Callithrix jacchus: one gene and its partners. The protein of the gene in region 5 purifies or fractionates together with the protein of the main gene of each other region. This does not show direct contact. Links are inferred from orthologs where the notes say so. Each region holds a gene or a part of one and is shown on either strand. Other genes may lie near its edges. The genes, in order: TRA2B, RNPS1, SNRPA1, HNRNPM, U2AF2, PSMA4 and SF3B2.

What was found.
Region 1: the proteins of U2AF2 (region 5) and TRA2B purify together in Homo sapiens (affinity purification with mass spectrometry; 4 studies listed by BioGRID and IntAct, counting the BioPlex papers as one, with this or other methods). This does not show direct contact. The link is inferred for Callithrix jacchus from reciprocal best matches to the Homo sapiens genes U2AF2 and TRA2B.
Region 2: the proteins of U2AF2 (region 5) and RNPS1 purify together in Homo sapiens (co-immunoprecipitation; 6 studies listed by BioGRID and IntAct, counting the BioPlex papers as one, with this or other methods). This does not show direct contact. The link is inferred for Callithrix jacchus from reciprocal best matches to the Homo sapiens genes U2AF2 and RNPS1.
Region 3: the proteins of U2AF2 (region 5) and SNRPA1 fractionate together in Homo sapiens (co-fractionation; 3 studies listed by BioGRID, with this or other methods). This does not show direct contact. The link is inferred for Callithrix jacchus from reciprocal best matches to the Homo sapiens genes U2AF2 and SNRPA1.
Region 4: the proteins of U2AF2 (region 5) and HNRNPM fractionate together in Homo sapiens (co-fractionation; 4 studies listed by BioGRID, with this or other methods). This does not show direct contact. The link is inferred for Callithrix jacchus from reciprocal best matches to the Homo sapiens genes U2AF2 and HNRNPM.
Region 6: the proteins of U2AF2 (region 5) and PSMA4 fractionate together in Homo sapiens (co-fractionation; 3 studies listed by BioGRID, with this or other methods). This does not show direct contact. The link is inferred for Callithrix jacchus from reciprocal best matches to the Homo sapiens genes U2AF2 and PSMA4.
Region 7: the proteins of U2AF2 (region 5) and SF3B2 purify together in Homo sapiens (affinity purification with mass spectrometry; 3 studies listed by BioGRID and IntAct, counting the BioPlex papers as one, with this or other methods). This does not show direct contact. The link is inferred for Callithrix jacchus from reciprocal best matches to the Homo sapiens genes U2AF2 and SF3B2.

What each region holds. Positions count from the first base shown.
Region 1 is NC_133516.1:14,879,644-14,883,848, reverse strand, and holds the start of TRA2B (transformer-2 protein homolog beta), read left to right. Parts: upstream 1-1,295; 5' UTR 1,296-1,450; coding exon 1,451-1,486; intron 1,487-4,205. UniProt on the Homo sapiens protein: Sequence-specific RNA-binding protein which participates in the control of pre-mRNA splicing. Can either activate or suppress exon inclusion. Acts additively with RBMX to promote exon 7 inclusion of the survival motor neuron SMN2.
Region 2 is NC_133513.1:4,501,404-4,505,851, reverse strand, and holds the start of RNPS1 (RNA-binding protein with serine-rich domain 1), read right to left. Parts: upstream 2,939-4,448; 5' UTR 2,881-2,938; coding exon of another isoform or gene 2,879-2,880; exon of another isoform or gene 298-2,878; intron 94-297; exon of another isoform or gene 15-93; intron 1-14. Other genes in the region: uncharacterized protein LOC144578542, read right to left, coding at 3,030-4,217. UniProt on the Homo sapiens protein: Part of pre- and post-splicing multiprotein mRNP complexes. Auxiliary component of the splicing-dependent multiprotein exon junction complex (EJC) deposited at splice junction on mRNAs.
Region 3 is NC_133507.1:8,684,947-8,689,232, forward strand, and holds the start of SNRPA1 (U2 small nuclear ribonucleoprotein A'), read left to right. Parts: upstream 1-1,350; 5' UTR 1,351-1,416; coding exon 1,417-1,498; intron 1,499-4,101; coding exon 4,102-4,249; intron 4,250-4,286. UniProt on the Homo sapiens protein: Involved in pre-mRNA splicing as component of the spliceosome. Associated with sn-RNP U2, where it contributes to the binding of stem loop IV of U2 snRNA.
Region 4 is NC_133523.1:8,004,107-8,007,476, forward strand, and holds the end of HNRNPM (heterogeneous nuclear ribonucleoprotein M), read left to right. Parts: coding exon 1-168; intron 169-766; coding exon 767-818; intron 819-2,347; coding exon 2,348-2,511; 3' UTR 2,512-2,770; downstream 2,771-3,370. UniProt on the Homo sapiens protein: Pre-mRNA binding protein in vivo, binds avidly to poly(G) and poly(U) RNA homopolymers in vitro. Involved in splicing.
Region 5 is NC_133523.1:48,521,799-48,525,472, forward strand, and holds part of U2AF2 (splicing factor U2AF 65 kDa subunit), read left to right. Parts: intron 1-2,368; coding exon 2,369-2,504; intron 2,505-3,335; coding exon 3,336-3,380; intron 3,381-3,673; coding exon 3,674-3,674. UniProt on the Homo sapiens protein: Plays a role in pre-mRNA splicing and 3'-end processing. By recruiting PRPF19 and the PRP19C/Prp19 complex/NTC/Nineteen complex to the RNA polymerase II C-terminal domain (CTD), and thereby pre-mRNA, may couple transcription to splicing.
Region 6 is NC_133509.1:25,910,383-25,914,358, forward strand, and holds the start of PSMA4 (proteasome subunit alpha type-4), read left to right. Parts: upstream 1-1,374; intron 1,375-1,688; coding exon of another isoform or gene 1,689-1,720; intron 1,721-2,323; 5' UTR 2,324-2,346; coding exon 2,347-2,349; intron 2,350-2,585; coding exon 2,586-2,628; intron 2,629-2,893; coding exon 2,894-3,056; intron 3,057-3,976. Other genes in the region: uncharacterized protein LOC144577225, read right to left, coding at 696-1,304, 1,689-1,720. UniProt on the Homo sapiens protein: Component of the 20S core proteasome complex involved in the proteolytic degradation of most intracellular proteins. This complex plays numerous essential roles within the cell by associating with different regulatory particles.
Region 7 is NC_133511.1:123,141,590-123,145,263, forward strand, and holds the end of SF3B2 (splicing factor 3B subunit 2), read left to right. Parts: intron 1-2,731; coding exon 2,732-2,831; intron 2,832-2,935; coding exon 2,936-3,121; intron 3,122-3,455; coding exon 3,456-3,527; 3' UTR 3,528-3,674. UniProt on the Homo sapiens protein: Component of the 17S U2 SnRNP complex of the spliceosome, a large ribonucleoprotein complex that removes introns from transcribed pre-mRNAs.

The DNA of each region.
Region 1 (4,205 bases), on a different chromosome or scaffold from region 5:
TGGTTGCACAGTTCTGGGAATAAATGCCATTTGAATTGTACACTTTAAATACGGGCATTGCATAGTAGATGAGTTATATCTCAATAAAGCTATTTTTAAAAATCAGGAATGGGAGATATTGGACTGAGGCGGGAGGATCACTTGAGACTGGGAGGCAGAGGTTGCAATAAGCCTCCATTCTGGACGATAGAGCGAGAGACCCCCTGTCTCAAAACAAAACAAAACAAAACAAAAGGCCCTTTACCTGTACCAAAGTACCTCACCAGCCAGGTACCACCTTTTCAGTGGATGAGGAGAACTGCAGAGGGATTAAGTATCCAACATAGGGGTCAGGGGCGGTGGTTTACACCTATAATCCCAACACTTTGGGAGGCCGAGATGAGAGGATCGCTTGAGCCAGGAGTTCGAGACCAGCCTGGCCAATACGGCAAAACTCTGTCGCTATAAACAATACAAAAAAATTAGCCAGGCATGGTGGCGGGCACCTGTAATTCAGCTATCCAGGAGGCTGAGGCAGGAGAATGGCTTGAACCTGGGAGGCAGAGATTGCAGTGGCCTGAGATTGCGTCATTGCACTCCAGCCTGGGCGACAGAGTAAGTCCCCATTTCAAAAAGAAAGGAAACAAAGTAGGTATCAGACTTGTGTTCTTCTCACTATATTCTCTTACGCAATGGCAGAATTAAGCTTCCCTCCTTGTGACATCCCTGCAGTTATACATGCCTCTAGCACTTATAATCATTTTAATTGTTTAACGGTTCTCATCTATTATTTCCTAACTTCAGAACAGAGATTGTTCTGATTCCTGTGTATCAAGATCTGACCTTTTTTAAATGAAGACGTATTCAGGAAAGAAATAGCTGCAAGTAAAGCGAAATGAAGTAAGAACCAGTGTACCAATATTCCCTCTCAAACAAAGGAAAAACATGAAACGAGAAACTAACAAGGCGGAGAAAGGAATGGAAACTGGGGGAAGCAGAGAGCATCTCCTCCCTCCCCGCTCCCTCGACAGGTTCCTTGGAAAGTTCTAGAAGGGATTAAGGTGTGACTGGTGACATCACCGTGGGCCCGTGGCGCCCACCACAGCAGCCAACCGGCAGGCTAGCTTTCCCGCCTGAGAGAGGCCGAGGAACGGGGGTGGGGCCCTGAGAGCGACGGGCTTGCGTCATTTCCGGTGCGGGACGCGAGGCTGTTGGAGAGAAAAGGCAAAGCGAGGAGGGGCGAGGCCAAAAAAGCGCGCGTTTCTGGGCGGGGGCGGAGCCTGGCTAAGGAGCGCCGCGTCACGTCCGGTAGAGTTAGAGCCCGTGCGGAGGCGGTGCGGAGCGGTTGTGCTCTGAGCGGCTGGGCTACCCGGTGTGTCGTGCGGGGCTGCGGCTGAGCCTCCTTAGAGAAGGCGCGAGAGGTTGGCAGCTTCGATTGAAGCACCTCGACCGGCGACAACAGCCAGGAGTCATGAGCGACAGCGGCGAGCAGAACTACGGCGAGCGGGTACGTAGAGCTGGTGTAGGGGGCGGCTGCGTGGTCCCAACTCCTTCCGTCTTTTTGTAGGCCCATCGGCCTTGGGCCGGGAGGCTGCGGCGTTTTAGGCTCCGAAGTCTGAAGCTGGGAGGGCAGGCAAGGGAGCAGCGTTGAGGCAAAAAAAAAGCCCTTGTGGATAGTGTCTTAGTGCCTTTGGTCGTGAAGGAGGGAGGACACCGGCGGGTTTATGTGGCTTCTGCCCGAGACGGCCGTTTCTCCCGTTATAAGCGGGGGAAGATGAAAATGGCCGCTGCGTCCCCGCGCTGTTGGGGGAGGGGAGTGGTATCTTTCGCCGTTGCTCTCCTGCGAAGGTCCGCCGCAGCCATCTTGGACTGGCGGGCTGGGCGCGCTGCCAGAGGCACAAAATGGCGGAGGAGCCGCGCGGCTACTCGGGCCCGACCCGCTGCGAGCCGCGCCTCGCAAGGCCGCGTGGTGGGGTGAGAGGAGGCAGACGGCATTCCTTGGGGTCTTTGGCCAGGTGTTGAGGTTAACGAAGGGCCGTCTTTGCCTCCCCGGAAAGGACGGAGTCTGGTATGTCCTTGGGGGGCTTAAGATGGAAACTAATCCGAGATCGACTAAGTTCTGGGCCTGTTAGGTGGAGGGGATTGCGCGAGGGCTTTGTGTTTGGCTTCAATGAAGTGCTTTTTTTCTGGTACCGAGAGGGCTTCCCAGGCAAAAGTCCGTATCAGTAAGCTATTAGAGCAGACCACAAAGTCGCTAAGATGGTTTTGTGGCCATCGCTTTTCCCCAGAATTATGAAGGAGAAATTGACGGGCAACAATTGACGGCGCCGTTATTTCCTTTGTTTTGAGGCGTTCTAATACTTAGAACCACAGCGTGTGTTGGGTACAATTTCCTTTAAGTTTCCACCTCTTAAAGGTGTTCAGTGAGGGTCAGTTGAATTGCCGGAACAAGACAGTTCTAGGGTTTAAACAACATACACAGCCTCTCAGTGGGGCTCTGGGTATTAGATTCGCAGAGCATTGAATGATGCGAAGATACAAGGATTGCTGCATTAGGAATCTCTTAATAGGAAGGTAATAAAAAACCACCACAGAAATTGATTTTTGAGGCTGTTACGGGAGTAATTTGTGCTTTTTTTTTTTTTTTTTTTAACTTGTTACCTAAGTTTTCCCTTACCGGTAGAGCCACCTTAAGATCTGAATATGATTTATCAGGTAAATAAGACTATTAAATGTCTTAGCAAAAGTTTGTATTAATAATAGTTTAGAAAGAAACTCTCTTACCTCCTGGCGCCTTAGTAATGAAGCGAGAGTAACCAGTTTAGAGCCAAAGCTGATTAATTTGGTTTGAACTAATCAAGCCTTGCGTTTACATATTCGGATGAGCATAGTTTTTTTAGTTTTTCATGTTTTACCTTAAGAGGATTGACTCCAGTGTCACGAGTTTAGATTTTAAGTTCTTTCTTTCATGGGTAAGAAAGTAGGGATTGGGCTCAAAAGTTAAGAGTGACTTTGTTGGCAGTTGAATCAACTGTTAAAACTAGTCATTGGCTAGTTTAGACTGCAAAGTAAGCGATTTTAAAGCCTTTCGTTATTAAACAGCAGTTATTGGGTACCTTTGTACTCTACAAAAATACAAAATGGCTTCAGACTAGGGGAACTCTCAGTTGAATACACTTGAAGAAGCTGCATATGGTATGCTTGAGAATGGAAAATTGCCGGAAGAGTTAATTAGTACATTTTACGGGAGAAGGAAACAACTGAAGGAACTAAGTTCCAGTTTGAGACTCGGCTCAAGAGAAATCTGAAATTTTCGGATTGGTGGTTTTCTTTCTACTAGTAAAAGTACAATTGTTTTGTTCACAGTCTTTCAATTGTAGAGGGAGGTTAACTTAAATGTGTTAAAACTGAGATTTTTTTTTACCTAAGAGTCTTGGCTTATTGGCCGAGGTGTCTAAACATTGAAGTTGTGAAATGCTTAACATTGTTTTGTTTGGTGTTTGTGTTCCAGTTGGAACCGTTAAGGGTTGGAATACACCTGAATAAAATTTGGAAGTCTAGGATTCCAAAACAATGTTAGGAAAACCTTAAAGCTCAATGGAATAGTTTAATCTTAGACATGCCTGTGGGGTAAATGCTTCTCTGGAGCGAGAAAAATGAGTTTCCTTCAGCTCCAGCCAGGCTTCTGAACTGGCTTAATGTAAATCACTAATCTCTTCAAATCAGCTGGAATTCTGCCTTATTTATGTGTCTCTAATCCAGACGTCCCCACCCTTCTGTGCCCCACCTTTTCTAATAACTGTAGGAGTTTATTGTTGTGTCCCTCCCCTTTAAGATTGGGTGTATGGGATAAATTATTCCCAATTTGATCACTAATAGAATACAGTGCTTATTGGATGAGTATAATGACACTTAAAAACTGTTTCACTGTGTCTCTAATGCCTTGTTGGTCTGTGGGATTTATCTCCCCACCCCCCCAATCTCAGTAATAGATTTACACTAAATCAGTCTATAGGGGTCTAATTAGCAGACTTAACCGGATCTGGCCAAACCACTTTCGAAAGTAAGATCGGTCTCATTTTTATCTCCAGATTTAAGCCTGTTTTCCTTCCCCTCCCCCCACCCCCCAAAATTGCTTGACTTTTTATTAAGGGGTTGACTAGCACCTTTTCTTCGCAAAAAGAGGCACTCCTGGCAGTTAAGAATTTGAACAAAAAGTCGATAGT
Region 2 (4,448 bases), on a different chromosome or scaffold from region 5:
ACAGGGAACCTAACTCAGGGGTGGTCTCCAGACAGGATTAGGTCTCCTGTTTCATTGCAGCAATTTCCTTTTGGGATACACTGGATAATACGACTGGAAGCAAAAACCATTTCAAAAGTGACTAGTACCAGCATCAAAACACTTAACACCCAAATGCAAACAGATAAAATGTACCGCATGGACATTTAAAAAGCAGTGATTGCAAACACTGTACTTTAGGAATATGCATACTGAGTGTGTAGGGAAAACACATGCAAGTGTGCAATTTACTTCAAATAAAGCAGAAATGTAACAAACTTTTAAGGGTTTTTTTCGAGACGGAGTCACCAGGCTGGAGTACACTGGCACGATCTCAGCTCACTGCAACCTCTGTCTCCTGGGTGTAGGTGATTCTTCTGCCTCAGCTTCCTGAGTAGCTGGGACTAAAGGTGTGTGCCACCACGCCTGGCTAATTTTTGTGTTTTTAGTAGAGACAGGGTTTCACCATACTGGCCAGCCTGGTCTCAAACTCCTAACTTCGTGATCAGCCCACCTTGGCCTCCCAAAAGTGCTGTAATTACAGGCATAAGCCACCGCTCCCAGCCCTCAAGTGGTTTTTGTGGGCATTAACTGTATAATTCAACCTTCCTATGTGCTTAAACTTTTCAAAAATAAGATGTTGAAGAAAAAAAGTAGGCACTGAGGTTTCGGGAGAGACTACCTACCACGTAAGACTACCTACGTTTAAGTTTAGCAAAACGCCTGGACTGCAGCGTGTGCTCAAATAATGGTAACAAATTACTCAAAACAAACTGCTAATAAGCTATGGGCTCTATTTCAGAGGGACTGCTGCCTTCAGTATTTCCAGCCAGGTCTGCACAAGCTGCATGAGTTTTTAAGTAAAGCTCTCAGGATGTGAGTCTCAGCTACTTCTGTCTCACCTTCTCCAACCAACAGCCTGTACGTAAGCAGGGCACAGCACACTAATGGGGTTCTGGTTTCCCCATGCAGAAATGCCAGTGCTGAAAACGTGTTCTGACCAAGAAAGAAGAGCACCTGGCTTTGAGCTGTCAAATGAGTCATGGAGGGCCGAACATCACCTTTGCTGCTCTTGTCCAGGGCATAGTGTTTTGCCTCAGAACAGTGATGTTCTGCAGACACCCAGCAGGCAGTGCCCGGTATGGCTGGTGTCCTTGGACAAACAGTGAGTATCAGAGTATAATTCCCAGTCTGGAGCCAGGAGGCCTGGGTTTGATTTGAAGTTTTACTGTGCAATTTTGAACAGGTCACTTATCGTTTTTCAAGTTTCTCATCATCAATATGGAGACAACTACAGTTCCAACCTTACAGTTATGCAGGGCATTAATCAAAGGCTCAATACATGTGAGAAGCAAGGGTTTTATCTTCACGTCCAGAGGCTCCTTCCCCCCCCCCAGACACTTGTCTCCAAAGTCCCACGTAATTTCTGAACTCTCTGCAGGGCTCCCGCACCCACCCACCTTAGGATCATCTGCAGCAGCACTGTCCAACAGAAATAGTGTGAGGAGCCACAAGCAGAATCTCAAATTCCTTAGTAGCCACGTCACAAAAATGGGTGAAATTAATTAACATTTGACACAAATCCAAAATACTTTTCCATCAAATAATCAACATAAAAATCTAAAGGTTTCTTTTTTTGTTGTTGTTCAGAGTAAGTCTTCTAAATTTGGGGTGTGTTTTAACATCTCAGTTTTGATTAGCTGCTGTATTTCAACATGCTCAGTAGCCACGTGGGGCCAATGGCTACCTCACTGGACAGCACAGATCTAGAGTGCAGGTCACACCCGCATATTCCAGCCCCACCCCCTAGTCCTAAAGATCTGCCCAAATGTACTCTGTGAAATCAAACACCGCTACTTTGATTCGCTTCGTGAGATCAAGGAGCACCGTTCTTAAGCACTCTAAGAACCACTGAGAAAGCGGACGCTTTGCTGGGTGCGGTCGAATGCTAGAAAGCAAAGGTTGAGGTTCTCTGTTCACACAAGTTCAGGTACCGGCTCAGGACCTCGGTTACCTCCCCCATCCTCCGGAAAGGTGCGCGTCCAACAGCCAGAGAGAGGAGAGAACAGTTAGTTAAATCTCGAGGAGAGGGCGTTTCGGCACAAATCTTCAGAGCGCCTTCCCCATTTAAAAGTACATTTCAGGCACAGTTCATGCGAAATCAAGACAAAAAGCCTACTCCACGTTTCTCCTCCAGCAACCTTAACCTTCCCGTATCCACCCCTCCGGGGTTAACCCATCAAACGGGGCCAGGCCACCGTGCTCGGTCCATAGCGGGCCACATCCCCCAGGCCTAGCGCCGAGAACTGCACACGGGAGCCCGGGAAACGTTCGCGGAGTGCATGTTTGAATCAATGCCTCCGATGGGGGGATCGGCCAGCCTTCCACTGTATCCCACAAAGAAACTCCGCGCCCGCCGGCACCGGCCCGACACGCCGACCTCGCCGCTCCCCGTCCGCGTTCACTCACAACTCCCTTGTCCAGGCGCCGGGCCGCGAGCGCTTCTAGGGCAGGGCCTGGCGTTGGGGGCCTGGGTCTCCGGCACGGCAGGAGGGCCCCAAGGGCGGAAGCCGCGCTCCCCGCTGCTCAGAGTCCCACGGGCCTGGCTGGGCCGCCGCCGAACGGACGAAGCAGAGGCGCCCTTCCGTCCGCCGCGGCCCCGACCACTTCCGGGCCACGGCCACGACACCTCCCACCCCGCCCACCCCGGGCTACACTCTTTCTTTTTAGAGTCCGCACCGCGCCGCCATGCTGCCGCCGCACTGCGGGGCTGGGGAGTGGACCAGCTTCACGATGCTTCCTGCCGGGCCTGACTGGCAACCCCTAAAGCTCGGATGCGGTCGGATTCCGCCCCACTTACATCTTCCCGCCGCCGACACCTCCTCCTGCCTTTCTCAGCCGCTCAAGCCGGCTCCGCTCTGACGTCAGAGTTAAGGAGCGGGAAGACGCTGCCGTCCGGCGCGCAGCGATGACGTAAATGCCTGGGCCAATGGGCGCGAGCGGTGAAGTGTTCAGAGAGTCAAGGCGGCGTGTGTGAGCCGCGTTGGAGCGCTCGCGGTGTCTCCCCGCCGGCGGTGTGTCCCGGCCGGAGGAGTCTGTGACTGGCCGGGCCGGTTGCACGCTTGCTGCAGCGGGCACAGGGGTAGCCTGCTGAGGCTGGTAGGGCCGCGCGATGACCGAGGCTCGTCGTCTGGCGCGGAGGGGGTTAACGCGGCCGTGCCCAGTCCCTTTCCTTGCGCGGGTGCTCTGGGCCCGCCTAGGCCTCCTCCGGCCCCCGACACCGGACGCTGGGCCCCGGGCCCGGCCGCGCGGCGGCGGCGGCGGGGTAGTCGTACAAGAAAGGCGCGCGGGCTCTGCGGCTTTGCTTGGCGCGACGTGGGGACCCGCAGGGTGGAGGCAGCTCGGAGAGATGGGCCGGGGCCGGGCGTGCGTTCGCGTGCTCCAGACCTACCGGTGGCGTTTGGGGTGCCCGCGTGGACGCGGCCTCCACGCAGGTGGAGCTCCGCCGGGTGGGCGCGGCAGCTGGGCAGTGTGGGCAGGAGGAGCGACGAGTTTGAGGGTAGGAGATGGGGTGCACAGGGGGGCGTCTGGGGGTGGTGGCCCTGCCGCGGAGACCCGAGAGGAACGGTGCGTGTGACGGGGTAACAGCAGGGGCCGAGGTTCTCTGGAAGCGGGGAAGGTTCCGCGCGAGCTTCGCGGCGGCAGCACGGAGCGTGTGAACGGCGCAGCGCCGAGGCTTCATTCAGCTGCGGGTGCGGGGTCCCGGCAGGGAGAGCCCAGAGGTGGCGGCGCCTCTGGCTGGGACATGGGAGAGGGTGACGCCGTAGGGGCGCAGGCCCAGACACAGGCGGGAGGCTCCGCACTGGCGCCCCAGACGGAGAGGGCAGGTTGTGTTCACTGCTGCGCCTGGCGGGCAGTCGTTGCCCTGTGATTGTTTGTGGAGGGGTTGACGGTGCGCTCAGCTTCGGACTTTGAACAGCTTCGTGGCAGCAAGGATGGGAGAAGGGAACAGATCCAAGCAGATCTTTGGGAGGAGAGAACCGGCATGACTTGGAGACTTTCGATGTCGGAGCAAAGGGGCTGGGTGCAGCTGGGCGACCTGGAGTGAGTGGGCGGATGGATGGACAGACAGCCAGGACGGGGTCTGCTATCACTGCCCTCCTTCCTGTGTGGGACGCTAGTTCCTGCTGACTTCCTGGCTAGACCCACTCCCTCTGGCCCTGTCCAAGGGTCAGGTGTGCCCTTGACCCTTCACCCTGGGCTAAGGGATGTCCGAGGACTTGGGGACAAAGGCCGCTGGGGGGAGGAGTCACCTCCTGGGTCCACGGCACTAAGTCACCAGTGTGTTCCTGTGGGTGGAGGTTGGCAGGCCCAGTCTGGTTTGGGTGCCCCTGTTGGATTTGGGTTTGATGACATGCAAAGTAAGTTAG
Region 3 (4,286 bases), on a different chromosome or scaffold from region 5:
AAAAAGGATACTGTGGGATTCTATTTATTTTTTCAGTTTTAAAAATTTATATTTTTTATTGTTATTTTTTAGTTTTTTCCAAATTTTTTTTACTTTTTTTTTTTAATTATACTTTAGGTTTCTGGGGTACATGTGCTGATCATACATGATTGTTGGGTAGGTACACACATGGCAAAGTGGTTTGCTGCCTCCATCCTCCCCCACCCCATCACCTACATCTGGCATTCCTCCCCATGTTATCCCTCCCCGACCTGCCCCCACTCCCCGCTGTCCCTCTCTTGTCCCCACCACAGACCCCAGTGTGTGATGCTCCCCTCCCTGTGTCCATGTTATCATTGTTCAATGAGAGTTAGAACATTCGGTGTTTGATTTTCTGTTCTTGTGTCCTTTGCTGAGAATGATGGTTTCCAGATTCATCCATGTCCCTATGAAAGATGAGAACTCATCGTTTTTTATGGCTGCATAGTATTCCATGGTGCATATATGCCACATTTTCCTTGTCCAGTCTATCACTGATGGGCATTTGGGTTGCTTCCAGGTCTTTGCTATTGTAAATAGTGCCGCTATGAACATACGTGTGCATGTGTCTTTATAACAGAATGATTTATAATCCTTTGGGTATATACCCAGTAACGGGATTGCTGGGTCAAATGGAATTTCTAAAACGAGTCTGTGGTGTTGAGTTTGCGGTTGCCTTTGCGAAGAGGGAGGTTTTCAAAACAGTGGGTTTTTTTTGGATCCCGGCGTCGGCTATGCAGTTGTGTTCACTCTGGTCATTAGTCACGCTGTAAACACCTGATTTGCACACTTTTCTGTATATCATACTTTATATGAATATTCAGAAGTCTAAAGGCCGCAAACCTAACGGCAAACCCTACCGTGCCCGCGACCGGGTTGCACTGGCGGGGCGGTGGAGTTGTCCCAGCGACCTGCCCCGGGCGGGTCACCTAGCCCGGGAGCTCACGCTGTAGCCTGGGGCCAAGGTCTAGGCTCGGGACAGGTACCTGAACTCGTCGACCCTTCACTGAAGCCCACGGGTCCCCGCGCCTGCTGGGGACAATCACAGCTTCCCCTCCCACCTCAAGGTGAGCTAGTGCATGAGAAAGTTCCCCTCGGGTGTTTCCACATTCGCCTTAACTTTTAAACACCAACGTCTGGAATCTGAGGTCCATCAGACTCCAGATACACCCCAGGAAAGAACCCAGAAACAAACACGTCCCCAGCGCGCGCGCCAGGACTTGGGGCCAGAACAACCCCGGGGGCGTGGCTCTTCGATTGCTTCGGCCTGGCGGTCGAGCTGCGCGCGCACTCGGCGGATGCGATTGGTGCTGCCTGGCGGCGCGGCGCGGCGCGGGGCACGTTGGGACGCAGGAGGCAGCGTCCTTTCGGCTACGCTGGGAAGCCAGAGGCGGCAGAATGGTCAAGCTGACGGCGGAGTTGATCGAGCAGGCGGCCCAATACACCAATGCGGTGCGCGACCGGGAGCTGGACCTCCGAGGTGAGTCCGGGGGCGCGGGCGGGCAGTCCCAGGGCGGCACTGCGCCGCCTTACGATCCGCGCTCCGCCGCGTGCACCGAAGGCCGGAGCTTGGCCCGCGGGTGGGTAATCTAGACCCGGATCGGGCTGCGCCGAGACCGCCCTGCCTGATTCTTGCCGTTGTTGCCAAGCGCGCGTCCCGTTAGGCTCTTGGGAGCCTTCTGTTACTGCTGTGCCTCCTGAGAAGCACGGGTGATTTCATTACTCCCTGCTGCATGCTCGTGGGGCTCTGTTAGGCCTTGCTTGGCTGTTTCGTAGCGGACTCTGAGGGCCGGGAAGAGCGACTCATTAACGGTGGTAACCCTAGTGCAGGGCGAGTGATTGGTTCTCAGTACTTGCCGCCAGATGATATTGTGAGTGTAGATAGGATATGTCTTCATTATTCTTAATGTGATGGAAGAAACTAAGTCCCCGAACAAAAGCGATTGTTTACCCCAGTATTTTCTTTCTTTCTTTCTTTTTGAGACGGAGTTTTGCTCTTGTTACACAGGCTGGAGTGCAATGGCGCCATCTCGGCTCACCGCAACCTCCGCCTCCTGCGTTCAAGCAATTCTCCTGCCTCAGCCTCCTGAGTCGCTGGGATTACAGGCACGCGCCACCATGCCCAGCTAATTTTTTGATTTTTAGTAGAGACGGGGTTTCACCATGTTGACCAGGATGGTCTCGATTTCTTGACCTCGTGATCCTCCCGCCTCGGCCTCCCAAAGTGCTGGGATTACAGGCGTGAGCCACCGCGCCCGGCTACCCCAGTATTTTCTACTTAGTAGCTTTAATTGTTTGGCGTTTCCCCTTCGTGAAGACGTTTTAAAGATTGAACTGTTTCACCCAGGCTTCCACCGCCGGGTGCTGTGTGTAAGTTGCGGAAGCGCTCACAATTATTTAGATTCCTGTACTATTTCAACCTTAGTAAGACTTGGTAAGAAATTGGGAGGGCAGTTAGCTAGTTGGCATTTCAGGAGACCGCTTTAGAAAGAATGTGAAGAGCAACTTCTCTGGGGTACGGCAGTGCAGTCGTAGCCTGAGATTCCCACGGGGACCTATGGTCTCGGGATTTGCTTTGATTTCTTGCTGACCTTTGGGGAATCGCATTGTTTTGTGTTGTGTTGTGTTGCGTTGAGATGAAGTCTTGTTCTTTCCCCTTTGCTGGAGTGCAGTGGTGTGATCTCGGCTCACTGTAAACTCTGCGTCCCTGGTTCAAGTGATTCTTGTGCCTCCGCCTCCCGGGTAGCTGGGATTTCAGGCATGTACCACTGCGCCTGGCTGATTTTTGTATTTTTAGTAGAGATGGGGTTTCACCATGTTGGTCAGGCAGGTCTTGAATTCTTGACCTCAAGTGATCTGCCCCCGTTGGACTCCCAAAGCGCTGGGATTACAGACGTGAACCACCGCGCCCAGCCCCCAGTTTTTTCTTTCTTTCTTTCTCTCTCTCTCTTTCTTTCTTTCTTCTTTCCTTTTTTTTTTTTTTTTTGTCTGAGTTTTGCTCTTGTTGCCCAGGCTGGAGTGCAATGGCACAATCTTGGCTCAATGCAACCTCCCCCTCCTGGGTTCAAGCGATTCTTCTGCCTCAGCCCTCCCCGCCTCCCCCGAGTAGCTGGGATTACAGGCATGTGCCATCACGTCCGGCTAACTTTATATTTTTAGTAGAGACAGGGTTTCTCCATGTTGGTCAGGTTGATCTCGAACTCCGGACCTTAGACGATCCACCCACCTCGGCATCCTAAAGTGATGGGATTACAGGCTTGAACCACCGCGTCTGGCCCAGTATTTTTATTTTGTTGAATTTAAGTTTCTTAGAGAAAGGTTCAGTTCAAGAGCAAATCATCACTTACGGTGATCTCTGCCATTTCTCTCTGTGGAGTGCGTGCAGTGTTGAGAATACTTCTTTTGATGCAGTACTTGTAGTACAGCCCTGAGTTGTGTACTTTAACTTTGGCTGAGTTTTTTTTTTTTTTTAAATAGACCTTGTTTCTTTGGAATATTTCTTTTAGCTCCTAACATAATAATGCCCAACTTAGACAAATTAAGTATGTAAACCATTGACCTCCAACTGTGAATTGGAGCTGGGGGAGAGAAGGGAGAACTGTCATCTTGAGGCTGTTCTGATGGGTTCTAAGAATCTGGCCTGTGGGGGTGCAAGAGGTGGAGAACTGTTGTCCACGGTGTTGGAACCTTGTTTGGGCACTGAAACTGAGCAGCCCGAAGTGGTAAATTCCTGTTGTGCTGCTTCCGCCTAACTAGCCCTGAAGACGTAGAACAGTGTGCACCTTGTAAATGGTCTTATAAATGTTAGCTAACTATCTCACCTATCATTACTGTCCTTGTCCCTGTTGTCATCAGACTGTAAGCTTCATGGCACTGGGGACTTGCCACCCTCATTCAGCATTTTATCTCTAGTACCTTGTGCAGTGGCAAGGCGTAGGAAACATGGCGTAGGTGCTAGGTAAGTAATACTTCCTGAGTGAATCAAGGCCTGGAGTCTGATTCCTGTGAAATACTGCTCATCTTTTAAGAGGCTGTTTAGTTATATTAATACCTCTTGTGTGTTTTTTTTCCTCCATTTTACAGGGTATAAAATTCCCGTCATTGAAAATCTAGGTGCTACGCTAGACCAGTTTGATGCGATTGATTTTTCTGACAATGAGATCAGGAAACTGGATGGCTTTCCTTTGCTGAGAAGACTAAAAACATTGTTAGTGAACAACAACAGAATATGGTAAGGGTCTGCTGGGGAAAGTAATTTTCCACCTGCG
Region 4 (3,370 bases), about 41 Mb from region 5:
ATCGAGCGCATGGGCCTGGCCATGGGTGGCGGTGGCGGTGCCAGCTTTGACCGTGCCATTGAGATGGAGCGTGGCAACTTTGGAGGAAGCTTCGCAGGTTCCTTTGGTGGAGCTGGAGGCCATGCTCCTGGGGTGGCCAGGAAGGCCTGCCAGATATTTGTGAGAAATGTAAGTGGCTCTTGGGGAACTTCTTGGTGGTGGTGAGCACCAGGGGACGAGGGAGGCAGAGATCCGCAGGATGAAATCAGAGGTGGCGCTCCACAGAAGGGACCACACCTCATTGCCCTTGTCCCTAATGTTTTGTGCTAGTAGGACAAGTAAGGAATGTGAGAACTGGGTTCAGGAATTGCCTGGGCTTCTCCACTGTGCTAGAATATGGAGCAGACTCTGAGCTCAGAGACTCCAGTTTCTGATCGCTTAATGAGCCAGAGTCTTGTTGCACAATGATCCAGGGAAAGAAGTGGCTGTAACAGAATTAGTTCCCCCAGCTCAGCCACCCTTAGCCTCTTTTGAGTGATGGTTGTGCATCGCAGGTCCAAGCGTCCCGCCCTGCTTGGTGCTCCCACTGGCAGAGCCCCAGGGAGGAGCTGGCTGTGCCCCTTCACAGCCTTGTCCCACATGGACCTGCTGATGCCATCAGTCTGAAGGGCAGCACTTCTTGGTGTAGTAAGAAACTTAGCTTGGCCCTCAGAGCCAGCTGCAAGGCATGCTAACTTAGGATTTACTTTAATCACACATCAGTCTCCCTTTTCTTCTCCCCCCTCAGCTCCCATTCGATTTCACATGGAAGATGCTAAAGGACAAATTCAACGAGTGTGGTAAGTGATGGGAATGGCTTTCTAGGTCCTTGCCTCATGCTTGGTAATGCAGCTGAGTCAGCAAAGCCTCCCTCCCGGCCCTCTCCATCAGCCCAGGACTCATGGCCTTGCCATTGTTCTGCCCATGCCAATGCTCAGGTTAGGCTGAGTGTCCTGTGATGTGTCACATGTTTTTCACCTGTTATTTCATCCTTAATTACTTTTCTTTTCCTTTGTTGAGGCTTTTGAAACAAGGTAATAGTGTCTGCATTTTACAGATGTCAGGCAAAGTCGTCTTTCTGAGCTCACCTGGCTTCTAGGTGGCAAATACATCCCAGATGAGGTCAGTTTTCCCTCAGCACAGCTGACTGAGGGCCTCTCAGGGAATGCCCAGCCTAGCAGATGCCATGGGGAGGCGCTGTGGGCTCTGGGTGCACAGCTGCTCATGTGAGGGTGAGGCTAAGGTCTCGTGGTTTCCTGGCATGTTAGACAACCCTTCTGGAAGGCTTCCTCTTGGGCTGGAAGCAAGTTGTCTTCCTTCCCTGCCCTCCAGGGTAAGCCCTCACCCCTCATGCACCACCTCTGTTCTCTTTAGCCAGAGGGGCCTGAACCAGGGCTGAGCAGTTGCTTCCACCCTGTCCTCCCACTTCCTGTTTCAGCAGCTGCTCTGATTTCACCATCATTGCTGCTTCTCCATGGTTTTTGGGGCAAGCCATTGAGTCAACCTGTTTCTTTCCTCACTCCTGAGTTTCCACATTGTAGCTATTCTGAAAAGGTCAGTGGGATCACAGGCCCCCACTTTCGCAATGCCTAGAGGGACGCTTAGCCTTCAAGAGAAAGTCCAGACTCTCAAGCCCCTTGAGGACTGGTCCCTTGCTCCTCTATCTCCCTCCCATCCCAGAACCTGAGCAGCAAGTACTACAAGCACCCTGCAGTGCTGTATGCAAGCCCCCATTGGCAAATCATCTTTCTGGTGAATTTGTGCAAGCTCTCAGAACTTGCCCCTGAGGGGACCCCTCCATCCTCCCTGCTCTGGGCCATCTCCTAGGCTGAGTTCCTTCCTGCCTCTGGCTTTGTGGCCCTAGCACCTTTAGCCTCTAGTGCTCTGACCCTGTAGGCCTGGCCTGTTTCCACAGTGTTGACACATCTCTGGATGCTAAATAGGTGTTCAAATGAATATATGCAGTGTGCTGGCTTACACTTGGACAGTACAGATGTGTCCATTGGATTGTGGATGGCTTTGTAACCAGAGGCAGTGGCTTATCAAAAATGAAGCCTCCAAAATATATATAGCCAGCCTTCTGCCTCTAAAGCTGACTTTACATGGTGCCTTCTTTTTTGAACTTTCAGGAAGGCTTTTCCTGGGGCAGGGGCAGGCTCTGTTAGCAGAACGGTAGTGTGGGCCCAGGGCCACAGTCACTGGTTCTTGGGGCCTCTCCTTTTTGACTCTGTCCACCAGAATCCATCAGGTGATAGGGACTGAGTACAGTCTAGACAGGCTGAGCTCTGAGTTTGCCTGACATGTGGTCTCTCCTTCCCTCCCTGTGCAGGCCACGTGCTATATGCCGACATCAAGATGGAGAACGGGAAGTCCAAGGGGTGCGGTGTGGTTAAGTTCGAGTCACCAGAGGTGGCTGAGAGAGCCTGCCGGATGATGAATGGCATGAAGCTCAATGGCCGAGAGATTGATGTTCGAATCGATAGAAACGCTTAAGCAGTTGCCTTTTTTAAACATCGATACCAGACCTCTGAATTTGTATTTTTTCTTGTTAACCATTTTAATTTGTTGGCTGGATGTATAAAGATGTTTAAAAAATTCAGTTGCTTTTTGGGGTAATTTGAATTACTTTTTTAATGACTGGGGTTCCATTTGACTGTTTGCATTGAGATTGCAACGTGCGCAATTTTTTTTGTAGTTGTGGCATCTTGTTGACATCAAATATGACTTTGATAATAAATACTGGTTCCTGAAAGCAGCATCCTTGTGTGTGGTATGTGGGCAACCACCTGAAATGTGGGGAGCCAGAGCCACTTGGGCTTCCAGTCTGAGGAGCAGCGATCTCCAGAAACCTCATCCCCACTCTTGCTTGTCTGAGGGCCTAGAGGTGAGTGCCTACCCTCAAAAAGGGAGACTATTCCCTGGAAACTGCCTTCCTGTGGGCTGTTATCCTTGGGCTGATAATGGGGCATTTGCTGTTCAGAGCTTCACAAGGCTGGGCACGGTGGCTCATGCCTGTCATCCCAGAACTTTGGGAGGCTGAGGTGGGCGGATCACCTGTGGTCAGGAGTTTTGAGATCAGCCTGGCCAACATGGTGAAACCCCATCTCTACTAAAAATGCAAATATTAGCCAGGTGTGTGGAGGGGAGGTGTACCTGTAATCCCAGCTACTCGAGGCTGAGGCAGGAGTATCGCTTGTACCCGGGAGGCAGAGGTTGCAGTGAGCCAAGATCGCACCATTGCATTCCAGCCCGTGTGGCAGAGTGAGACTCCATCAAAAAAGCCTCCCAAGCCATCCAGTCTCCCTTTTGTGAGGTTAACTCCCTGTAGCACAGACCCTGCTTGAGTCAGGCT
Region 5 (3,674 bases):
AGGCTTCAGTTGCTTTTGCATGGTTTTATGTTGTTGGTAAGTAGAAAAACAGGTACTGATTTTGAGCTCTGGCTGGCTGCAAAGCCACGTTCCTCTATGCTGACCACCAAGTCGAGCTGATTGGTCCGTTCTTTGAGGCCCTTAGATGGCACCGTACTGGTTCTCCTGTGGTTTCTCCTCTGATGCTGGGAGGCCAGTGCCTGGACCTGGCGTGGTTCCTGGGTTGGCGGAGCTGCTCCCATAAGATGACCACAATACAATGTTTTCAGCAAACGAAACTCCCTTTCTGTTTTTACCTGTCCAGCATCAGTGTGTGGGAGAGGGTTCTTGCCGTAGGGGAAGCTCTGCCCGCGCACACGTATCATTCTGGCTGTGGGTCTTTGTCTCTTTGGAGGACGGGCCAGCTTCTGTACCTGCCCGCTTCTGCTTCAGCGCCTTCCTCTGCTCGCTGTGTCTACAGGGAATTTCCTTGTCTATGTCCCAGGCACCCAGCCAGGCGTCACTGCTTTCTGTGCGTGTGTTCCTTTCTGCCTGCTGCCTGTTTCAGAGCCTTAGCAGCAGGAAGGGCTCCTGGGGCTCACAGCCTGTCCATCTTTCAAGTGTGGAGCCAGCGCTGTGCCCGCTGCCATGCCTGTGTGCTTACTCCGCTGCTGGCTTGTCCTGCTGATTGTTCCCCCCCGTTTCTGTCTTTGATTTTGGGGTTTTGGGCCTTCAAGCCGACAATTGCATTGTCATTAGTGGTTCTAGCCAGAATGTCCTGCCTGATCCGAATTCAGGAGCATGGCCTCATGCTGAACTTGATGGCTTTACAGAGTTGAAATTCCGGCTTCACCATTTTCTAGCTGTTTGGCCTTGGGCAAGTTGTGGTCTCTCTGTACCTCAGTTTCCTTATCCATTATGTCAGCCCCCAGCAGTGTTTTTCTGAAGCAGTAGTGAGGATTAAGTACAAACAGAACTTTTTTTTTTTTTTTTTTGAGACAGAATTTTACTCTTGTTACCCGGGCTGGAGTGCAGTGGCGCGATCTCGGCTCACCACAACCTCTGCCTCCTGGGTTCAGGCAGTTCTCCTGCCTCAACCTCCCAAGTAGCTGGGATTACAGGCATGCGTCACCATGCCCAGCTAATTTTTTGCAAACAGAACTATTTAATACAGATTTCCGTCGTAAGAAGCATCACATTATTTGTTACTGTTTTTTTCCCCCCGCTGGGTGCATATTTTTCTGAGTGTTGGTGGTTTTGGAATTGTGATGCTTTTCCCAACATTCATCTGGTGTCAGAATAACAAAATGCTGGGTGAGGCTGAAGTTTAACATTCTCCCTCTGTGCCTTTTCCCCCCTCTGGCCCCAGGGATCATCACTCTAGGTGATGCTTGTTAACATGTATGAGCACCTTAACATGTGCATCTTGTGTGTGTGTGTGTTTCATGGATAGTTGAGAAATCTGGGTATCTCTGAATTCAGGGAATTCTAAGTGGTGCTTATGAACACCCCCAGCTCATGGTTTATCCTCCATCTTGAAGGGTTGGTCTTCAGGAGTTGAAGGGTCTGGTGGAAGCAGAGGTTTCTGTGGTTTTGCCAGTGAGGCTCTGTTTCTAGTGGCCACCTTGGAGGAAAATAGGACGTCTGGAGGCTGGCGGAGATACACACCCGTACTCTACAACCTCTCCAGTACTTGGCTTTGAAGGGAGCGAGGCAGGGAGAGTCAGGTGGTTTGGGGTGAAAGTCTGGGTAGGGCAAGCTCCTCCCCTGACCTGCTGAAGCAGAGGAGGGCTCTGTACCCTCCATCTGCAGCTGCTTCAAGGCCCTTCACTCCCCGGGGGAAGCGTGCTTGCTTCTGCATTATTCACCAGGTTGGGAAGGGATGGGTTGAGTTTCCCTGCTTCCTGGGGATATCAAATCCTGCCTGGCACCTGACCTCTAGGCCTGATGATGGGGCTGTGGGTGCCAGCTGGTTGCAGAGGTCTTTCCTGAGGGGTCTCTGCGTCCCTTCAGGAAAACATCATTGGGTCTCTTGATTCCCCAGCCTCTAGCCCTGCCCCTCTCAGGGACGACCCTGGGGTCAGGCCCCTCAGCCCTCGAGGGGGACCAGGAGCCAGCCTCTGTCTTCTCTGGCTCCCCAGCTCCTCCTGAGCATCCTCAGGTATCTTACACCCCGGGGGCATTTCCAGGCCCGTCCCCCTGGTCCCCTCAGGGTCCCTGGACTCGCTTGTGGATCTAGGAGGCCTGTTAATTCCCTTCCTCCATCGAATCCCTTCCCTTTGGGGGGTGGCCTCCCTGGGGCTTGGGACATAGCCACCAGTGCGCAGGGTGGGCTGGGTCCACATCCTTACTCCGCTCATCGCATCCCCTTCCTCTCACCCTTGCCCAGAGCGGGACAAGGAGAATCGGCATAGGAAGCGCAGCCACAGCCGCTCTCGAAGCCGGGACCGCAAACGCCGCAGCCGGAGCAGAGACCGGCGCAACCGGGACCAGCGGAGCGCTTCCCGGGACAGGCGGCGCCGAAGGTACTAGGGCTCAGGGACCCCGGGCTGGGCCAGCCTGGGAGTCGGGTGGGGGGTGGGTGTTGGCCAGCCTGGGGGTGGCCCATTGATTCTGTATCTGGGCCCAGGCCTTCTGTGGCTCATCTTTCTTTGTGTGGATCTGGGGGAGGGATCTACTGCTTGGTCTGTCTTGAATTCCGATTTTTCCCCCGTTTCTGGGGTTTCTTTCATTTCCTCTATTGGGGGTTGCTGGTGGGTTGCTGGGAGCAATAGGTTCTTTCTCTGGGGCCATGGAATTGATTCTGTGTTTTCCTTTGCAAGGGGCTGTTCTCTGTCTCTGACTCTGACTGCCTGTTTCTTCTTGTCAACTCTCTGGGGCTCTCTGTGGGACTCTATTCGAGGGGGTTGGTCTCTGCCTCCAGTTTCTTTCTTCCCTGCCTCCTTGGAGAAGGGAGCTCCTGGGAGTGAGGCAGTGTACACAGCCTGGGCTTCTTTTCTGGCCCAGGGGTGTTGGTTTCCACCGCCTTTTTCTCTCTAGGCTCCCGTCTCTGTTCTCTGCCCCTTAGGTGAGGAAGGGCAGGATAGGCAGAGTTCTCCTGCCTTCTCCCAGCAGTTTCTCCAGCTAGAGACTGGTCCTTCCTGGCCCCTGGCCCCTGTCTCCTTTCCTCACTTCCTCTTTCCTGGGGGTGGGAGTGTTTGGGGGGAAATGGCAGGGCCGAGGGGGGCCTGCTTGCTGCTTGTTCACCTCGGCCCTGCTCCCATCCTGGGGCTCAGTGCCCTTGGGGGGGTGTGGCATGTGGGGAAGACGAGGGTCCCCAGTCACCCCTCCCCATACCTTTCCCTCCCACCCCCCAGCAAACCTTTGACCAGAGGCGCTAAAGAGGAGCACGGTGGATTGATGTGAGCTTCTCTTCCTGCCCCTTCCTCCCTGATGTCCACTCCCTTCACCTTCCTCACGCCCGCCTACCCTGCCCTGTCCGCTTCCAGCCCTGGCCCAAGCACTGGGAAGAGTCCACTTGCCTTGAAACCAGCACCCCTTCCCCAGGCCCTGTCCCGGATCCTCTCCTTCCCTGGAGAGAGTGCAGCTTACATGGTGGGGGGGAGGGTGAAAGGGCACCTGGGAGGGGCTCTGAGGCCCACTGTTGGTCAGACTGAGGTTACCCTGCCCCCCTCTCCCCTCCCACCTCCCCCAGT
Region 6 (3,976 bases), on a different chromosome or scaffold from region 5:
CATACCTCATTGCAGCCTCAAACTCCTAGCCTCAAGCCAGCCTCCTGCCTCAGCTTCCCAAAGCCGTAGAATTACAGGTGTGAGTCACCGTGCTGACACTCATTATTATTTTTTTTTCTTTTGAGACGGAGTCTCACTCTTTACTCCAGCCCAGACTGGAGTAAAGTGGCGTACTCTCAGCTCACTGCAACCTCCACCTCCCAAATTCAAGCGATTCTCCTGCCTCAGCCTCCTGAGTAGCTAGGATTACAGGCACCTGCAACCACGCCCAGCTAATTTTTGTATTTTTAGTAGAGATGGGGTTTAACCATATTGACCAGACTGGCCTCGAACTCCCGACCCGAGGTGATCCACCCACCTTGGCCTCCTTTCAAAGTGCTGGGATTACCGGCGTGAGCCACCCCGCCCAGCCTTCCTCATCATAATTTATATGTCCAAAAGTGTATGCATCAGCAGTAATAGTGGAAGCCATAATGAAAAAGGGAGATGATGAGACGGGTGAAGTCTGATATGGTTGGAACCGTTTTGGGAAACAGGACAGGAATGATAGCAATTAAGAGGCAGGTCCACACTATGTGTTATCCTAGCTCTGAATAGTCAAGAGAAAGTGAAAGTAGAGCCCCAAGAGTAGGAGAAGGAAATTAGCTATACAGCAATTCCACTCTGGTTGGCTACGCTCTTAGTGCCCTCCTCACCATAGCACAGCAGCCTCTCCACCTGCTGAGGGCTCCAGCGCCCCAGAGTCCCCGCACCTCGCGCCCCAGCTCCCACGAGGGCCAAGGGTTCTCACTCCGCCCTGCAAGGAGAACTTCCGCGTCCTCAGCCGTCCCGCCCCCTCCCCGGAGGTTCTGCGCATGTGCGGGGGCCATATTAGCAGCGGATAATCTGGCAGCGCTGGTGATCTTTCTCCCGCGGAGTTAAGGGCTCTGTGGACGTCACAAGTCTTCAGGGTCTTCCCTCTGGTAAGCCTTTGCCCCCTAGGAGCCCGCAGAAGCTTGGCCGCTCGCTCCTCAGGCGGGGCTCGTGAACGGCTAGCCAGTAGGTCTCGGCTGCAGCCGCCGCCGAGGAGCTGTGGGCACGATGACTCTGCACCGCCTCCTCGGTGACGGACCGGCCGCCGGGACTGGCCCCCGCCGGCCGCCGTTGGGGGCTTCCCGGTGCCGAATCTGGACGCGGGGCCCGGCGAGGGGGCGGGCTGAGGGCGGGGGTCTGTGGGCAGGATCGAGGAGTCGGGGCGGCTTCCGTCCCCGGGAGTTCGGTACGTGAAAGTTAGCGCTCCCGGTGCCGGTGAACTCACGATCGTGCTGTGCCGGCGTCAGGCGTGGAGACAACAGAAAGTTGCGCTTACTCTCGAATCAGAAACGCCCGGCGAGTGTCTGTGTCCTCCCTGCTTCTCTGCTCTGGGCCATCCTTCCTTTGCACCTTCCTATTGTAGCTGTCTTAGCCAGTTCGCTGCCCTCGGCCTCGCTAGCCTGAGTGATCATTTAAAATGCCAATCAGTTCCTGTGTCCCTTGGGAATCATTCAGAGGAGCCCCTTGACTGAGAGATGAAACTCAGTTTTCACGTGGGCACGCGGGCTCTCCAGGATTTGATTCCAGCTTACCTTTCCAGGCTTCATTTCCTATATTCCAGTATTTGGGAATGTGGGCTTTGGACTGAGGCTTTTCTACCGAATAACGCTGCGTACCCAGTGTTGTCTTTTGCACGAATGGTACTCATGTTGCCCAAGATAACCGCCTTCAGCCCCAAGTTCAGGACCCAGATCACTCTCTGGAGAAGGCCTAAGCCTCTTCACTTGGCATTCAAGGCCCCGCGTGATTTGGATACTTGCTTAGCTTTTATTTATACATTTTTTCAAAGATCAGCAGTTTGTCTCATGCCCACTAAGTTACCATGCCTCAGTACCCTTTGTTCATACTTTCTGCCCCATCTGGAATGCCCTTCCCCTCTTTCTTCCCCTGTTCTTTCTCTTAGACCCAAGGGTTCTTGGCCTTTTTTCTGCCTCTGCTGCCTCTTGATTTAGTTTCATTTTCTGTATTGGTTTCTCAAAAAATACTTTCTTGATTTTTCTTCATCCCTTTTCCCACCCTACCCTCGGTTCCTCTTTCTACATTATAATCTATGTCTGCCTCTGTCACCTAACTGCCAGTATTAGCTTTTCAGGACAGGAATTGGTTTTACACATTTTGGTATTCCAGCATCTAGCATAATGCCTGACTGTTGGCTGAATAAAGGGAGTAAATAAAACAGATTTGTAAAGTCAGCAGATGGTTTTTAATTTGTGAATCTTATTTTAATGATGATCCGATTTTCTTTTTACAGGAACTAGATAAAGTTCAGAAAACATGGTGAGTTAATGCCAATAAACTGTTGCCTGATAAATAGTATTGTACGCAGTTTACAGACTTGTGTGGGGAAATTGAAATGAAAGGAAGGCAGTGGGATGGCGCCTTCTTTCTTGTCAGTTTCCTCTCACCCATTGAACTTTATGTGCCAGGATAGGTTCTGTAAGATGATTTGTAGGCTTGCAGGAGCTGGCTTACTTTCAGTGGATAGGAATCACTTGTGTGTTTTTCCTTTGCAGTCTCGAAGATATGACTCCAGGACCACTATATTTTCTCCAGAAGGTAAAATAGAAATTGTTTAATCTGCCTCAAGTTAAAAAAAAAAATGTGTTAGACTTTTACAGAAAAAAAAATGTACAAACTTTTTGTAGTTGCAAAGTTCCTCCCTTTTGTTCTTTGAAGCAATTATGGTCACCAGATTGATTATACCCTAGAAGAGTAAAAGTGGGACTTTTGTTTCTAGCTTGCTTCACTGCTGATTTCTTTTGGGCCAGTGATGCGAGAGCACAGAGGAGAGTCTTGGCTTCTCACTGCTTTTGTTTTGTAGGTCGCTTATACCAAGTTGAATATGCCATGGAAGCGATTGGACATGCAGGCACCTGTTTGGGAATTTTAGCAAATGATGGTGTTTTGCTTGCAGCAGAGAGACGCAACATCCACAAGCTTCTTGATGAAGTCTTTTTTTCTGAAAAAATTTATAAACTCAATGAGTAAGTGAGATTTTAGGAAAGAGTTTTAAAAAATATCTCACTTTCTCACATAAGTGGGAGCTATGTAATTTGGGAGGGCTCTTCCCTGTGATGTCATAGAATTGAACTTGTACCTTTATTTTGCTTGAAACCTCTTTGAGGCCTGGTATCCTTTTACGTGCAGAGCAAACACTTAGTGGAGAAGCCAGCATTGTGTAATGATAAAGGTACAGATTTAGTCACAGAGATTTGGGTTCAAGTCCAGGCTTTACCCATACAGGCTACGTGACCTTGCACCAATTATTTAATTTTTTTTTTTTTTTGAGACGGAGTTTCGCTCTTGTTACCCAGGCTGGAGTGCAGTGGCGCGATATCGGCTCACTGCAACCTCCGCCTCCTGGGTTCAGGCAGTTCTCCTACCTCAGCCTCCTGAGTAGCTGGGATTACAGGCATGCGCCACCATGCCCAGCTAATTTTTTGTGTTTTTAGTAGAGACGGGGTTTCACCATGTTGACCAGGATGGTCGCGATCTCTTGACCTCGTGATCCACCTGCCTTGGCCTCGCAAAGTGCTGGGATTACAGGCATGAGACGCCATGCCCAGCCCAATTATTTAATTTCTTTGGGCCCCAGAGCCTCCTAAAGTGGTTGTGGCAGTTTAATGAAATAAAATGAATTAAATACAATAGTATAGTGTTTGACATATAGTAGGTCCTCAAAGTATTGTTTAGAATAGCTACGCAGAGGCCGGGCATTGTGGCTCACGCCTATAATCCAAGCACTTTGGAGGCCAAGGCAGGCGGATCACCTGAGGTCGGGAGTTCAAGACCAGCCTGACCAACATGGTGAAACCCTGTCTTTAAAAATAAGAATAATAATAGAATAGCTACACGGGATTTTGTTGCACTATACTGAATCTTACTAAAGAACAAGCCTTCTGGA
Region 7 (3,674 bases), on a different chromosome or scaffold from region 5:
TGGCGGTTTTTAAAGTATTTTAGATCTGGGTTTTTAGTTTTTATTAATTTGGGGAAAATTTTGATCATGATGTCTTCCGATATTTTCTCTGCTCCCTTCTTTCCTTTGGGAACTCAAATTATTCCTCTATTAGGTGTCTTGAAGTTGCCCCACTGCTCACTGATGCTCTTAATTTTTAAAGAAATTCTTCTCTCTTTGTATTTCATTTTAGAAAATTTCTATTGCTATGTGTTCAAGTTTACTATTTTTTCTTGTGTAATTTCTGATCCAACAGTAATCCCAAACAATGTGATTCTCCTTTCTAGATGTTTTATTTAGGGTTTTTTATATCTATTCTTTCTCTCTTATTTAACTTTTTGAACGTGTGGAATGCAGTTATGATAGTATTTAATTTTATTAATTTAATGTAATTTTAATTTTATTTTGAGATGGAATCTTGCCCTGTTGCCCAGGCTGGAGTGCAGTGGTGCAATCTTGGCTCACTGCAACCTCTGCCTCCCAGGTTCAAGCAATTCTTGTGCCTCAGCCTCCAGAGTAGCTGGGACTACAGGCATGTGCCACCATACCTGGCTAATTTTTTTGTATTTTTAGTAGAGACAGAGTTTTGCCATGTTGACCAGGCTATTCTTGAATTCCTAACCTCAGGTGATCTGCCTGCCTCATCCTCTCAAAGTGCTGGGATTACAGGCCTGCACCTGGCTATAATAATGTTTTAATGTATTGTCTGCCAACTCTAACATCTGTGCCAGTTCTGGGTGATTGCCATTAGCTGATTATTTTCTTCATTATGGATTGTATTTTCCAATTCTTTTGCATATCTGGACATTTTTTCTTTTTCTTTTTTTTTTTTTTTTTTGAGACAGGTTCTCACTGTGTTGCCCAGGCTGGTCTTGAACTTCTGGGCTCAAGCAATCCTCCTGCCTCAGCCTCCCAAAGTGCTGGGATTACAGGCATGAGCCACCGGGCATGTCCGGTACCTGATAATTTTTTATTAAATGCTAGGCTTTGTGAAATTTACCTTGTCTGGTCCATGGAATTTTTGTATTCCTGTACATTTTCTTCAACCTCATCCAAAAATAGTTTGATCTTTTCAGGTCTTGTTTTTGGCGTTCCTGAGGCAGGACTGAAGTAGTCCTCCCCACTGTGAGACACAAGTACCTGTGTACTCCACCCACCATCCTGTGAATCAGGAGGTTTTTCCGTCTGGCTAGTGGGCATTGCACTATTCCCAGTTCTGAGTGAGCAGCGGGTGCTGTTATGAACCTTTTGGGTGCTGCTTAGTACTCCCCTGCATACTTGAGGACCTTCTGTAGGTCTCTTGAGTTCTCTCTGCTCTTTTCTCCAGTACACTTTCTGTGAACCGTTACTGCCTTGATCTCCCTGGACTTTCACCTTCATCCTCCCAACTCATGGAGTCCTCTGGGCTGTCCAGTGGGTCTCCCTTCTTTGTTCTGTGGCCTAGAAACTCAGTGCAGGATGCTGGGGCAGTTGAAGGATTCATCACATTTGTTTCCTATCTCATAAGACTCACTTATATTTTGTTGCCCCATGTCTGGTGTCTTGAAAACCACTGTGCCAGGTGCAGTGGCTCACACCTATAATCCCAGCACTTTGGGAGGCCAAGGCGGGCCGATCACCTGGGGTTGGGAGTTCGAGTCTAGACTGACCAACATAGAGAAACCCTGCCTCTACTAAAAATACAAAAATTGGCCGGGCATAGTGGCACACACTTGAAATCCCAGCTACTTGGGAGGCTGAGGCAGGAGAATCACTTGAACCTGGGAGTCAGAGGTTGTGGTGAGCTAAGATTGCACCATTGCGCACCATGGGCAACAAAAGCAAAACTCTGTCTCAAAAACAAAAAACAAAAAACACAGTTTCATATATTTTGCCCATTTTTTGTTTGTTTCAGGCAGGAGGGTATATCTGATTCTTGTTGCTCCTTGTCAGGAAGCAGAACTCTCAAACTTTGCATATTCATGGAAGAAAAAGAAGGGTACTGTGGACAGGGTATAGTGAGGAGGGCTTCGATAAGGGACCAGACTATGAACCCTTTAGGTCATGGTAAGGAGTTTGGATTTTATTCAGATAATGGACAGAAGCCTCAGACGGTTTTAAGCAAAGGTCTGACAAGACCTGACTTCCATTTTAAGGCATTTACTCTGGCTCCTGTGTGGCGAATAGATTGTCACCTCTTCCAGTGGGAGAGGTAGAGATGAGGGACATGGTCTGGGGTGATAGTGGTAGATTTGCTCTTGTTCCTAGTGTAATTCTTGAAATTGGTGGTGAAACTGGCTGTGGATGGCTCTTGCATTGGAAGGCCTGGAAGTGTGAACTGTGTACATTAGAACTCCAGGCATGACATTCTTTGGGTGGGAACTGTTACAGCCTGCTCTCTTGCCAGCTTCTCTGTACCAAAGTTCTCTTGGAAACTTTTAGGCTCTCTGACCTTTTGACCCTTGTATGCATGTGGGAGTCCTGGTCTGTGATCCCCTAACTTGGTTCAGGGGGCCCCTTAGCTCCATCTCTGTTCCCTGGAGTCGGCACTGTGCCACCCTCCCCTACCCAATTATTTTCTGTCATGGGCCTCCATGAACTGGAGGCTGCATCCCTGGGGAGCTCAGAAGCTCTCCAAGGCACTGAGTGGTGGTGCCACCTGTTTCTTTTGTTTCCACTGCTGGGGACCCTTTTGTCCCTTCCTTTTTGGGCCTGATCCCATTGTCCTTTGCAGAAGTGAGACACCTCAGCTCTTCACTGTGTTGCCAGAGAAGAGAACAGCCACTGTTGGGGGAGCCATGATGGGATCAACCCACATTTATGACATGTCCACGGTGAGTACTTGAAGGACACTGCTTTTGGAGGCTGAGAAAGGCAGCACAAACTAGGGCCTCAGTGACTGTCTTTGGAGATGACAAAGCCCTGATCCCCTTTCCAGGTTATGAGCCGGAAGGGCCCGGCTCCTGAGCTGCAAGGTGTGGAAGTGGCCCTGGCGCCTGAAGAGTTGGAGCTGGATCCTATGGCCATGACCCAGAAGTATGAGGAGCATGTGCGGGAGCAGCAGGCTCAAGTGGAGAAGGAGGACTTCAGCGACATGGTGGCTGAGCATGCTGCCAAACAGAAGGTAGGTGCTTCCAGGGGGCTGGGCTGAGTGAGAGCCAGGGACCCTGGCCTGCCGATTTCCAGTGGCGTAGTGCCCCCTAGTGGTCAGAGTGAGGGTGGCCTCTGCTTGCTGCCCTGCACTTCCTTAGATTTGGAAATCTTAGAAATCTCCAGTGGGCTGCCCTCTTTAAGGACGGTGATGGGGAGGAGCTCAGCCAAGTCTGAGAGGAATCTGGAAAAGAATCCGGATTCAGCACCTTTCCCACAGACTTCTATGTCTATGTCAGGCTGCCCACCCTTGTTTTGGGGGCCCAGGGGTGGCTCAACCTGTTGTAATGTGCCTTTCTCCCATACAGCAAAAGAAGCGGAAAGCTCAGCCCCAGGACAGCCGTGGGGGCAGCAAGAAATACAAGGAGTTCAAGTTTTAGGCCCCCTCACGCTGGCCTTCCTTTCAGTCCTCCGTCTGGATGCCTGGGCTTCACACAAGAGCCACCTCTCCCGCAATTCCCAAGGACTTGTCATTTCATGTTCTTATTTTAGACCTGTTTTGTAAATAAAGCTGTTTCCCAAGGAAA